Linked DNA regions of Macaca mulatta. The protein of the gene in region 2 purifies or fractionates together with the protein of the main gene of each other region. This does not show direct contact. Links are inferred from orthologs where the notes say so. Each region holds a gene or a part of one and is shown on either strand. Other genes may lie near its edges.

The links.
Region 1: the proteins of BAG6 (region 2) and MAVS purify together in Homo sapiens (affinity purification with western blotting; 3 studies listed by BioGRID and IntAct, with this or other methods). This does not show direct contact. The link is inferred for Macaca mulatta from reciprocal best matches to the Homo sapiens genes BAG6 and MAVS.
Region 3: the proteins of BAG6 (region 2) and GET3 purify together in Homo sapiens (co-immunoprecipitation; 5 studies listed by BioGRID and IntAct, with this or other methods). This does not show direct contact. The link is inferred for Macaca mulatta from reciprocal best matches to the Homo sapiens genes BAG6 and GET3.

The regions. Positions count from the first base shown.
Region 1 is NC_133415.1:80,212,066-80,215,585, reverse strand, and holds part of MAVS (mitochondrial antiviral-signaling protein), read left to right. Parts: intron 1-1,620; 5' UTR 1,621-1,687; coding exon 1,688-1,804; intron 1,805-3,520.
Region 2 is NC_133409.1:150,677,729-150,681,248, forward strand, and holds part of BAG6 (large proline-rich protein BAG6), read left to right. Parts: intron 1-109; coding exon 110-307; intron 308-517; coding exon 518-770; intron 771-1,088; coding exon of another isoform or gene 1,089-1,115; coding exon 1,116-1,193; intron 1,194-1,303; coding exon 1,304-1,411; intron 1,412-1,524; coding exon 1,525-1,637; intron 1,638-1,741; coding exon 1,742-1,829; intron 1,830-2,902; coding exon 2,903-3,189; intron 3,190-3,520. UniProt on the Homo sapiens protein: ATP-independent molecular chaperone preventing the aggregation of misfolded and hydrophobic patches-containing proteins.
Region 3 is NC_133424.1:13,300,941-13,304,460, forward strand, and holds part of GET3 (ATPase GET3), read left to right. Parts: intron 1-1,067; coding exon 1,068-1,216; intron 1,217-1,299; coding exon 1,300-1,494; intron 1,495-2,897; coding exon 2,898-3,027; intron 3,028-3,117; coding exon 3,118-3,315; intron 3,316-3,520.

The DNA of each region.
Region 1 (3,520 bases), on a different chromosome or scaffold from region 2:
GAGGTGGGCGGATCATGAGGTCAGGAGATCGAGACCATCCTGGCTAAAACGGTGAAACCCCGTCTCCAATAAAAATACAAAAAAATTAGCTGGGCGTGGCCGGGCGCGGTGGCTCACGCCTGTAATCCCAGCACTTTGGGAGGCCGAGGTGGGTGGATCACGAGGTCAGGAGATCGAGACCATCCTGGCTACACAGGTGAAACCCCGTCTCTACTAAAAATATAAAAAAATTAGCCGGGCGTAGTGGCGGGTGCCTGTAGTCCCAGCTACTGGGGAGGCTGAGACGGGAGAATGGAGTGAACCCGGGAGGCGGAGCTTGCAGTAAGCCGACACCGCGCCTCTGCACTCCAGCCTGGGTGACAGAGCAAGACTCCGTCTCAAAAAAAAAAAAAAAAAAAAAAATTAGCTGGGCATGTTGGCAAGCGCGTGTAGTCCCAGCTCCTGGGGAGGCTGAGGCAGGAGAATGGCGTGAACCCGGGAGGCTGAGCTTGCAGTGAGCCGAGATTGCACCACTGCACTCCAGCCTGGGCAACAGTGCAAGACTCCGTCTCAAAAAAATAAATTAAAGATGGCTGGGCACATTGGCTGGCACTTGTAATCTGACCTACTTGACAGGCTGAGGCAGGAGGATCGCTTGAGGCCTGGGCAACATCATGAGACCCTGTCTCTAGAAATAATATAAAAATTAGCTGGGCATAGTGGCGCAAGTTTGTAGTTCCAGCTACCTGGGACGCTGAGGCAGGAGGATTGCTTGAGCCCAGAAATTTGAGGCTGCAGTGAAGTATGATTGCACCACTGCACCCAACCTGGGTGACAGAGTGAGACCCCATCTCTTTTTTGGTTGGTTGGTTTGTTTTTGAGATGGAGTTTCGCTCTTGTTGCCCAGGCTGGAGTGCAATGGCATGGTCTCGGCTCACCTCAACCTCTGCCTCCCAGGTTCAAGCAATTCTCCTGCCTCAACCTCCCGAGTAGCTGGGACTACAGGCATGCACCACCATGCCCAGCTAATTTGTTGTTGTTGTTGTATTTTTAGTAGAGACGGGGTTTCTCCATGTTGGTCAGGCTGGTCTCCAACTCCCAACCTCAGGTAATCCCCCAACTTGGCCTCCCAAAGTGCTGGGATTATAGGCATGAACCATTGTGCCCAGCCTGAGACCCCGTCTCTTAAAAAAGAAAAAGAAAAAGAAAAAAAAGCCAGGTGTGGTGGCTCACGCCTGTAATCTCCAAACTTGGGAGGCTGAGGCGGGTGGATCACTTGAGGTCAGGAGTCCGTGACCAGCCTGCCAACATGGTGAAACCCCATCTCTACTAAAAATACAAATATTAGCTGGGCATGGTGGTGGGCACCTGTAATCCCAGCTACTGGGGAAGGAGGCTGAGGTAAGAGTCAATTGAACCCAGGAGGCAGAGGTTGCAGTGAGCCAACATCGCGCCACTGCACTCCAGCCTGGGTGACAGAGTGAGACTCAGTCTCAAAAAAAAAAAAAAAAAAAAAAGAAGAAAAAGAAGAAGAAATTCAAGATGAAAGAAAACAAAAATTCCAAAAAGTTGAGAAAGAATTGCCTTTTGTCCAGCCCCACTCCCAACCCTGTTGTCATGTGTGATTCTGTTTTCTTCCAGTCTCGTTTCCTCTCAGTCCATCCACCCTTCACGGGGCCAGAGCCCTCTCTCTAGAATCTGAGCAGCAATGCCGTTTGCTGAAGACAAGACCTATAAGTATATCTGCCGCAATTTCAGCAATTTTTGCAATGTGGATGTTGTAGAGATTCTGCCTTACCTGCCCTGCCTCACAGCAAGAGACCAGGTGAGCAAGGGAAGTGACAACCGGATACTGGCCTGGGGGCAGGACTGTGGAATTCAAAGCTCAGCCCTATCCTAGTTCCTCACCCAAGCCAGGGCTGGCTCCTTCCTTCTGCCTCTTGCTGTGTCTTGCTCCTTGTCCTTGCTGCTTTTCATTTTTTTTTGAGACAGAGCCTCACTCTGTCGCCAGGCTGGAGTGCAGTGGCATGATCTTGGCTCACTGCAACCTCCGCCTCCCAGGTTCAAGTGATTCTCCTGCCTCAGCTTCCCGAGTAGCTGGGATTACAGGTGTGTGCCACCACGCCCAGCTAATTTTTGTGTTTTTAATAGAGACGGGGTTTCCCCATGTTGGCCAGGATGGTCTCGATCTCTTGACCTCGTGATCCACCTGCCTCAGCCTCCGAAAGTGCTGGGATTACAGGCGTGAGCGCCGTTGCTGCTTTTCTAACTTTTGGATGAAGTGTGGCTCGGGGTGGCATTGCTGACTTCGCCGAACTTCCCGTTGTGTTGTTTTTGTACACTGCTCAAAAACATGGCACTGGCTCTCTGAGATTTCCTGGCTCTGGTCCACTTGCCCACTTTTTTTGGAACCTCCTATTTCCTTCATCTCTCTTGCCCTTCCTTGTCCTGCTCAGTTTTGACTCCATTCTCCTTGTCATGGGGCCCTGTCCAGGCACAGCGCTGGGACTCAGGTTTGAGAGCAGGCAGGAGCCAGGTCGCTCTAGCCCCAACAGAACTTGCTGCAGGCCCCTGGCACTCACTAGCTGGTGAAACGGGCACAACCCCTCCCCGTTGTAGCTGCTATTCTCAGATTGGACCCCTGTGCTCCAGAGGGTACCTGTTGGCTCTTTTGGGGCCTCCTGTCCTCAGATTTCTCAGGAGCCCCATTGCTGTCTCTGGTGTCCTCCCACACAGATCGTGTTAGTATGCAGGTCTGTTTGGGGTTTGCCCCTCCCTCTTGTATTTTGGGGTTTATAGGGATATCTTGTTTTGTAGTAAATATTTTCTGTGGGTTTTATTTTCTTTAAAAAAATTTTTTTTGAGACAGAGTCTCACTCAGTTGCCCAGGTTGGAGTGCAGTGGTGTGATCTCAGTTCACTGCAACCTCCGCCTCCCGGGTTCAAGTGATTCTCGCGCCTCAGCCTCCTGAGTAGCTGGGGTTACAGGCGCATGGCACCACACCTGGCTAGTTTTGTATTTTTTTTTTTTTTTTTTGAGACGGAGTCTCACTCTGTTCCAGGCTAGAGTGCAGTGGCGCAGTCTCGGCTCACTGCGAGCTCTGCCTCCCGGGTTCACAACATTCTCCTGCCTCAGCCTCCCGAGTAGCTGGGACTACAGGCGCCTGCCACCATGCCCGACTAATTTTTTGTACTTTTAGTAGAGACTGGGTTTCACCGTGTTAGCCAGGATGGTCTCGATCTCCTGACCTCATGATCCGCCCGCCTGGCCTCCCAAAGTGCTGGGATTACAGGCATAAGCCACCACGCCCAGCTAGTTTTGTATTTTTAGTAGAGACAGTTTCACCATGTTGGCCAGGCTGGTCTTTATTTTTATTTTTGAGACCGAGTCTTGCTCTTGTCACTCAGGCTGGAGTGCAGTGGTACAATATTTTGTTTTGTTTTGTTTTGTTTCTGTTTTTGTTTTTGTTTTTTTTTTGAGACGGAGTCTCGCTCTGTGGCCCAGGCTGGAGTGCAGTGGCCGGATCTCAGCTCACTGTAAG
Region 2 (3,520 bases):
TGAAAGTTTTGGAGGACGTGGTATTCTTAGAAGGCATTATTGCTTTCATTAGTGAGATGGACTCCAGCTTGATATTTTCTGCCCTTTTGTGTTTGGCTGGGGTGTGCAGCACGAGGGCCGGGAGGAGGATCAGCGGTTGATCAACTTGGTGGGGGAGAGCCTGCGACTGCTGGGCAACACCTTTGTTGCACTGTCTGACCTGCGCTGCAATCTGGCCTGTGCGCCCCCACGACACCTGCATGTAGTCCGGCCTATGTCTCACTACACCACCCCCATGGTGCTCCAGCAGGCAGCCATTCCCATACAGGTGGGTTAGGGGGAGTCTGGCCTGAGGGAGAGTGAGGAGTGTTGATAGAGTGACCCAGGGTAGCTACTGGGCCTGAAGGAGGTTAGGAAAGGAGGAGACTTTGGAAACATGGTGATGGAGGCTGGGGATACTTCAGAGGTTTATTGTGAGGATTTCTTGGTTAGGCTTCTGTATTTTTCTCACTTCTGCCTGTCCATCTGTCTTTTTCAGATCAACGTGGGAACCACTGTGACCATGACAGGAAATGGGACTCGGCCCCCCCCAACTCCCAATGCGGAGGCACCTCCCCCTGGTCCTGGGCAGGCCTCGTCCACGGCTCCATCTTCTACCAATGTCGAGTCCTCAGCTGAGGGGGCTCCCCCTCCAGGTCCAGCTCCCCCGCCAGCCACCAGCCACCCGAGGGTCATCCGGATTTCCCACCAGAGCGTGGAACCCGTGGTCATGATGCACATGAACATTCAAGGTGAGTTAGAATCAGTTGCTGGCGAGAAGAGTAGAATCAGCATGTTGAGGGAGGTTCATGTCGAGGTATGAGGAAACAGGGTGGGGAAGGGAGAGGCCCATGCTGGTGGTGGTAGCCTGGGGACCAGAGCAGAAACTTTAGTAGATGGATGTGGGGGACGGGTTGCTTTGTTTTTGGAGATGTGTTTGCATGGTGAAGGGAGCACCTTCTCCCTGTTTAGATGAAGGGAAAAGCAGGCTTTCTGATTGGGGGATTATGGGCCTGAAGTATGCCTGATCTCAGTAGGATATAGTTAGGCCTTGGCCCTACCTACCTCAGGGCTACTCTCTCTGTCTCCCTGCCCAGATTCTGGCACACAGCCTGGTGGTGTTCCGAGTGCTCCCACTGGCCCCCTGGGGCCCCCTGGTCATGGCCAAACCCTGGGTAAGAGTGAGGGCATCAGGGCAGGCTGAGCTCTGGGTAGTGAAGGGGAAGGGCTGAGTGGGTGGGTTGAAGGGGTCCAGGTTCAAGGTTACATCAGACCCGCCCCCCAGGCTCCACCCTCATCCAGCTGCCCTCCCTGCCCCCTGAGTTCATGCACGCCGTCGCCCACCAGATCACTCATCAGGCCATGGTGGCAGCTGTTGCCTCCGCGGCCGCAGGTAATGACCTGGAAGGGGAGGCTTGGGAGGTGGGGCACAGTCCGTGGTGGCAGCTGGCTGGCAAGGGCCTGGCCCTCAGCCCTGTTCGGTCTCTTCTCTTCTGCCACCCACAGGACAGCAGGTACCAGGCTTCCCAACAGCTCCAACCCGGGTGGTGATTGCCCGGCCCACTCCTCCACAGGCTCGGCCTTCTCATCCTGGAGGGCCCCCAGTCTCTGGGACACTGGTGAGCAAGGGTTGGGGAGTTCTAGTGCGTAACAGTCTAGGGAGAGACTCCTGTGGTGGTGCATGGAAGGGCAGGTCTGAAGTCCTTCCTTGCTCTCTATCCAGCAGGGCGCCGGGCTGGGTACCAATGCTTCGTTGGCCCAGATGGTGAGCGGCCTTGTGGGGCAGCTTCTTATGCAGCCAGTCCTTGTGGGTGAGTTTTCATTCTTCCCCACTCAGACTTTAAATTCCTTTCCTAGTCTGCTTATTGGCACTTTCTAGTTCTTTCTGTATTTTCTTGGTTCCTGCTTTCCTGGAATAGGGCTGCTATAGTGTCTTGTTTGTCTTTAGGTTTCAATGTTTTTCTTTTTTTGGGGGGGGATGGAGTCTCGCTCTGTCCACCAGGCTGGAGTGCAGTGGTGCAATCTTGGCTCACTGCAAGCTCCGCCTCCTGGGTTCAAGTGATTCTCCTGCCTCAGCCTCCTGAGTAGCTGGGACTACAGGTGAGTGCCACCACACCCAGCTAATTTTTTATATTTTTAGTAGAAACGGGGTTTCACCATGTTGGCCAGGATGGTCCCGATCTCTTTTTTTTTTTGAGACGGAGTCTCGCTCTGTCGCCCAGGCTGGAGTGCAGTGGCCGGATCTCAGCTCACTGCAAGCTCCGCCTCCCGGGTTCACGCCATTCTCCGGCCTCAGCCTCCCGAGTAGCTGGGACTACAGGCGCCCGCCACCTCGCCCGGCTAGTTTTTTGTATTTCTTAATAGAGACGGGGTTTCACCGTGTTAGCCAGGATGGTTTCGATCTCCTGACCTCGTGATCCGCCCGTCTCGGCCTCCCAAAGTGCTGGGATTACAGGCTTGAGCCACCGCGCCCGGCCGGTCCCGATCTCTTGACCTCATGATCCACCTGCCTCGGCCTCCCAAGGTGCTGGGATTACAGGCTTGAGCCAGCATGCCTGGCCAGCTTTTTTATTTTTTTTTGAGACAGAGTCCTGCTCTGTCACCCAGACTGGAGTGCAGTGGTGCAATCCAGTGAGTTATAGCTCACTGTAACCTTGAACTCCTGGGCTCAAATAGTTCTCCCACCTCAGCCTCCTGAGTAGCTAGCAGTACTAGCTTCTGGCTAGTAATTGTCTTTTTTTGTTTTTTGATAGAGATGGGGTTTTGCTATGTGGCCTAGATTCCTGGGCTCAAGCAGTTCTCCTGCCTTGGCCTCCCAGAGTTGCTAGGATTATAGCCGAGAGCCACCATGCTCAGCCCAGCTTTTTTCTTTTGGTTCTTACAGCTCAGGGGACTCCAGGAATGGCTCCACCACCAGCCCCTGCCACTGCTTCTGCCAGTGCTGGCACCACCAACACAGCTACCACAGCTGGCCCCGCCCCTGGGGGGCCTGCCCAGCCTCCACCCACCCCTCAACCCTCCACGGCTGATCTTCAGTTCTCTCAGCTTCTGGGGAACCTGCTAGGGCCTGCCGGACCAGGGGCTGGAGGGCCTGGTGTGGCTTCTCCCACTATCACTGTGGCGATGCCTGGTGTCCCTGCCTTTCTCCAGGGCATGACTGACTTCTTGCAGGTGAGTGGCTGGCTTGCCATTCACCTCACCCTTCCTGTCTCCTGGCCCAGCCAGGCAGTGGTACCTTCTTCCCATTATATAACCACTGGGTAAAAGCCCCTAGTGACACGTGGGGGAAGGGGCCCTGGGAATTCATTGACTCTGAACCCTTCATTTTAAAGATGAAGAAAATGAGGTTTAGAAAAAGAAAGTGTAGTAATTAGTGTCACTGCTTTCTGACAACCTGTTCAGAGGAAGAGGTAGGTAGTTGTGCTGCCTGACTCTGTTAAATACCTACCATATTTCTGCTCTAAGCAGTGAAGATCAGAATGTAACTCTCCATCTTCCCAGA
Region 3 (3,520 bases), on a different chromosome or scaffold from region 2:
CTTTATAGATTCTACATACATGTTTGTGTTTTGTTTTGTTGTTTGTTTTTTGACACAGAGTCTCACTCTGTCACCCAGGCGGGAGTGCAATGGTGTGACCTCGGCCCACTGTAACCTCCGTCTGCCGGGTTCAAGCGATTCCCTTGCCTCAATCTCCAGAGTAGCTAAGATTATAGGCGTCCGCCACTATGCCTGGCTAATTTTTGTATTTTTAATAGAGACAGGGTTTCACCATGTTGGCCAAGCTGGTCTCCAACTCCCGACCTCAGGTGATCTGTCCGTCTCCACCTCCCAAAGGACTGAAATTACAGGCGTGAGCTACTGTGCCTGGCCGGATTCTGCATACATATTGACGACCTCTGTGCCAGGCACTGTTCATGCTAAGTGCTGAGGACACAGCAGTGAGCTAGATGGTAAAACCCTTGCCCTTGAGGGGATGCCCCTCCATCTGCTCTGGAGACAGATGATAAACATGATAAGGGAATCATGAGGGATGTGAGGAAGGGCTAATTTTTCTTTTTTCAGATGTGTCTTGTTATATTGCCCAGGCTGGTGTCCAACTCCTGGGTTCAAGCGATCCTCCCATCTCATTATCCTGAGTGCCTGGGACTATAGGCGTGAGCTATCCTGCCCAGCTCCTAAGGACTAAACCTTAAGGAGAAAGGAAGGCAGGGCAGGGGATGTCAGTGGATCTGTGCTGTTATTTAGGGTGGTCAAGGAATCTCTCAGTGGAGGGATGGATGATCTGGAAGAGGTCATGGCCCATTCACGGGAGTATCTGGGGTCTCAAGTGGCCGGTTACAAGTGGGGAGTAGCAATGTAAATGGCCCGCAGTGGGTTTTGGCTTCCCTTCGAGGGCCCTGGCCACAGCTTGCAATTTTCCCGTTGTTTTTCACCCTTTATGCAACCATACAAAACCCTAAGTGCTACCTCAGGGTCCCCCCAGCTGTGACCTAATGAAACGCCTGTGGTCAGAGCCCGCCACAGGCTCCCTCTGGCCCTGTGCCCAGGTAGGAAGGCTCCCCCAGCAGTAGCAGCAACCTCCGTCTCATCCCTTTGGCCCCCAGGAGATTGACCCCAGCCTGGGCGTGGCGGAGCTGCCTGACGAGTTCTTCGAGGAAGACAACATGCTGAGCATGGGCAAGAAGATGATGCAGGAGGCCATGAGCGCATTTCCCGGCATCGATGAGGCCATGAGCTATGCCGAGGTCATGAGGTCAGGCCCAGCCAGCAGGGGTGGGGGCTGCCTGGGGAAGGGGAAGAGTGGACACAGAGGGCCTGACCCCTGTCTCCCCTCAGGCTGGTGAAGGGCATGAACTTCTCGGTGGTGGTGTTTGACACGGCACCCACGGGCCACACACTGAGGCTGCTCAACTTCCCCACCATCGTGGAGCGGGGCCTGGGCCGACTTATGCAGATCAAGAACCAGATCAGCCCTTTCATCTCACAGGCAGGCGGCGGGGGCCCCCACCTGCACCATCCAGGCAGCCGGGAGTGGGAGTAGGCCCAGGCCCCTAGACCCTCAGACACCTACTAACAATTCCCTTTCCTTCCCACCCCTTCTCTCTCTGGAATTCTCCCTGGAGGGCATGGGAGGGAGCTGTCTTTCCTCCCCCGCAGGCAGGACTCAGTGTCCCTGCCCCTGCCCACTAAATACCCTAGACAGAGCCAGAAAGCACATTTCAGAACCAGGCAACCTGCCTTCAAACCCTCTGCACTCACCGTGTGACCCAACTGCTGTGTGACCTCAAGCAAATCACTTCACCTCTCTGGGCCTCAACTTCCTTGTCTTGCAAATGGAGATCATGAGAGTGCCCCATGGGTTGTTATTATTATTATTATTATTATTACTTTTTTTTTTTTTTTTTTGAGACAGAGTCTTGCTCTGTCACCCAGGCTGGAGTGCAGTGGTGCAATCTCGGCTCATTGCAACCTCCACCTCCTGGGTTCAAGTGATTCTCGTGCCACAGCCTCCCAAGTAGCTGGGGGTACTTAGCAGACGTGTACTTAGCAGATGTGTACCACCATGCCCAGCTAATTTTTGTATTTTTTGTAGAGACAGGGTTTTGCCATGTTGCCCAAGCTGGTCTTGAACTCCTAGCCTCAAGCATTACACCCACCTCGACCTCCCAAAGTGCTGGGATTACAGGCATGAGCCACTGTGCCCAACCCCCGTGGCTTATTATTACGATGACAACCCCAAAGCCCCCACAGTGCTTCACACCACCAGCACCAGCCACCATGGTATATGTGCATGTGTGTACCCTGTGAGGACCTGTGCCTCAGGTGGTAACACTGGGCACTTACTGTGTGCCAGACACTGTTCTGAACACATTATATGCATCAGCTCATCTGGTACAACAGGTCTGGGAGGTAAAGTTTAGAGATGGGGAAACTGAGGCTCCAGAAGGTCAAGCCCCTTAGCCATAGTTCCCTAGAAATGGCAAGGCTGAGGCCGGTGGCGTTGGCTCACGCCTGTAATCCTAACACTTCGCAAGGCCAAGGCGGGTGGATCGCCTGAGGTCAGGAGTTCAAGACCAGCCTGGCCAAAAATGGTGAAACCCCACCTGTACTAAAAATACAAAAATTAGCCGGGCATGGTGGCCCGTGCCTGTAATCCCAGCTACTTGGGAGGCTGAGGCAGGAGAATCGCTTGAACCCGGGAGGCGGAGGTTGCAGAGAGCCAAGATCACGCCACTGCACTCCAGCCTGGGCAACAGAGCGAGACTCCATTCCAAGAAAAGAAGAAAGAAATGGCAAAGCTGGTATTTGACCAACCCCAGGAATCTGCTCACGGGCCTGAGCCTTTAACCGCTGGGAGGTATCAGGAGTCATCCCTCTGGTGTTTAGTGAACCCCCAACCCAGGAGGTTTAATGAGCCCCAGGTAAGCTATGAGTCCTCCCACATCCCCCCTGCAGATGTGCAACATGCTGGGCCTGGGGGACATGAACGCAGACCAGCTGGCCTCCAAGCTAGAGGAGACTCTGCCCGTCATCCGCTCAGTCAGCGAGCAGTTCAAGGACCCTGTGAGTGGTGGTCTGGCTGGCAGTGAGAGGCCTGGGGGCTGAGGACCGTGGCAGAACCCGCCCCTCACTGTCCTCTCTTGTGCCCTGTAGGAGCAGACAACTTTCATCTGCGTATGCATTGCCGAGTTCCTGTCCCTGTATGAGACAGAGAGGCTGATCCAGGAGCTGGCCAAGTGCAAGATCGACACGCACAATATCATTGTCAACCAGCTCGTCTTCCCTGACCCCGAGAAGCCCTGCAAGATGTGTGAGGCCCGCCACAAGATCCAGGCCAAGTATCTGGACCAGGTGTGCCCACCCACCCAGCACTGGCTGAGCAGAGGCACCTCTGCCCCTTTATTCTCTGACCTTTTGCTCCACCTTCTGGCCCTCTGGCCTAGCCTCCTGCCCTTTGCCCCCACATTTCAGATCCTTCACCCTTATTCTGGCCATAGAGGACTGTGGCTGGCCTGGCCTAGATCCCTGTGACCCTGGAGAGCAGGTGGTCTAGCCC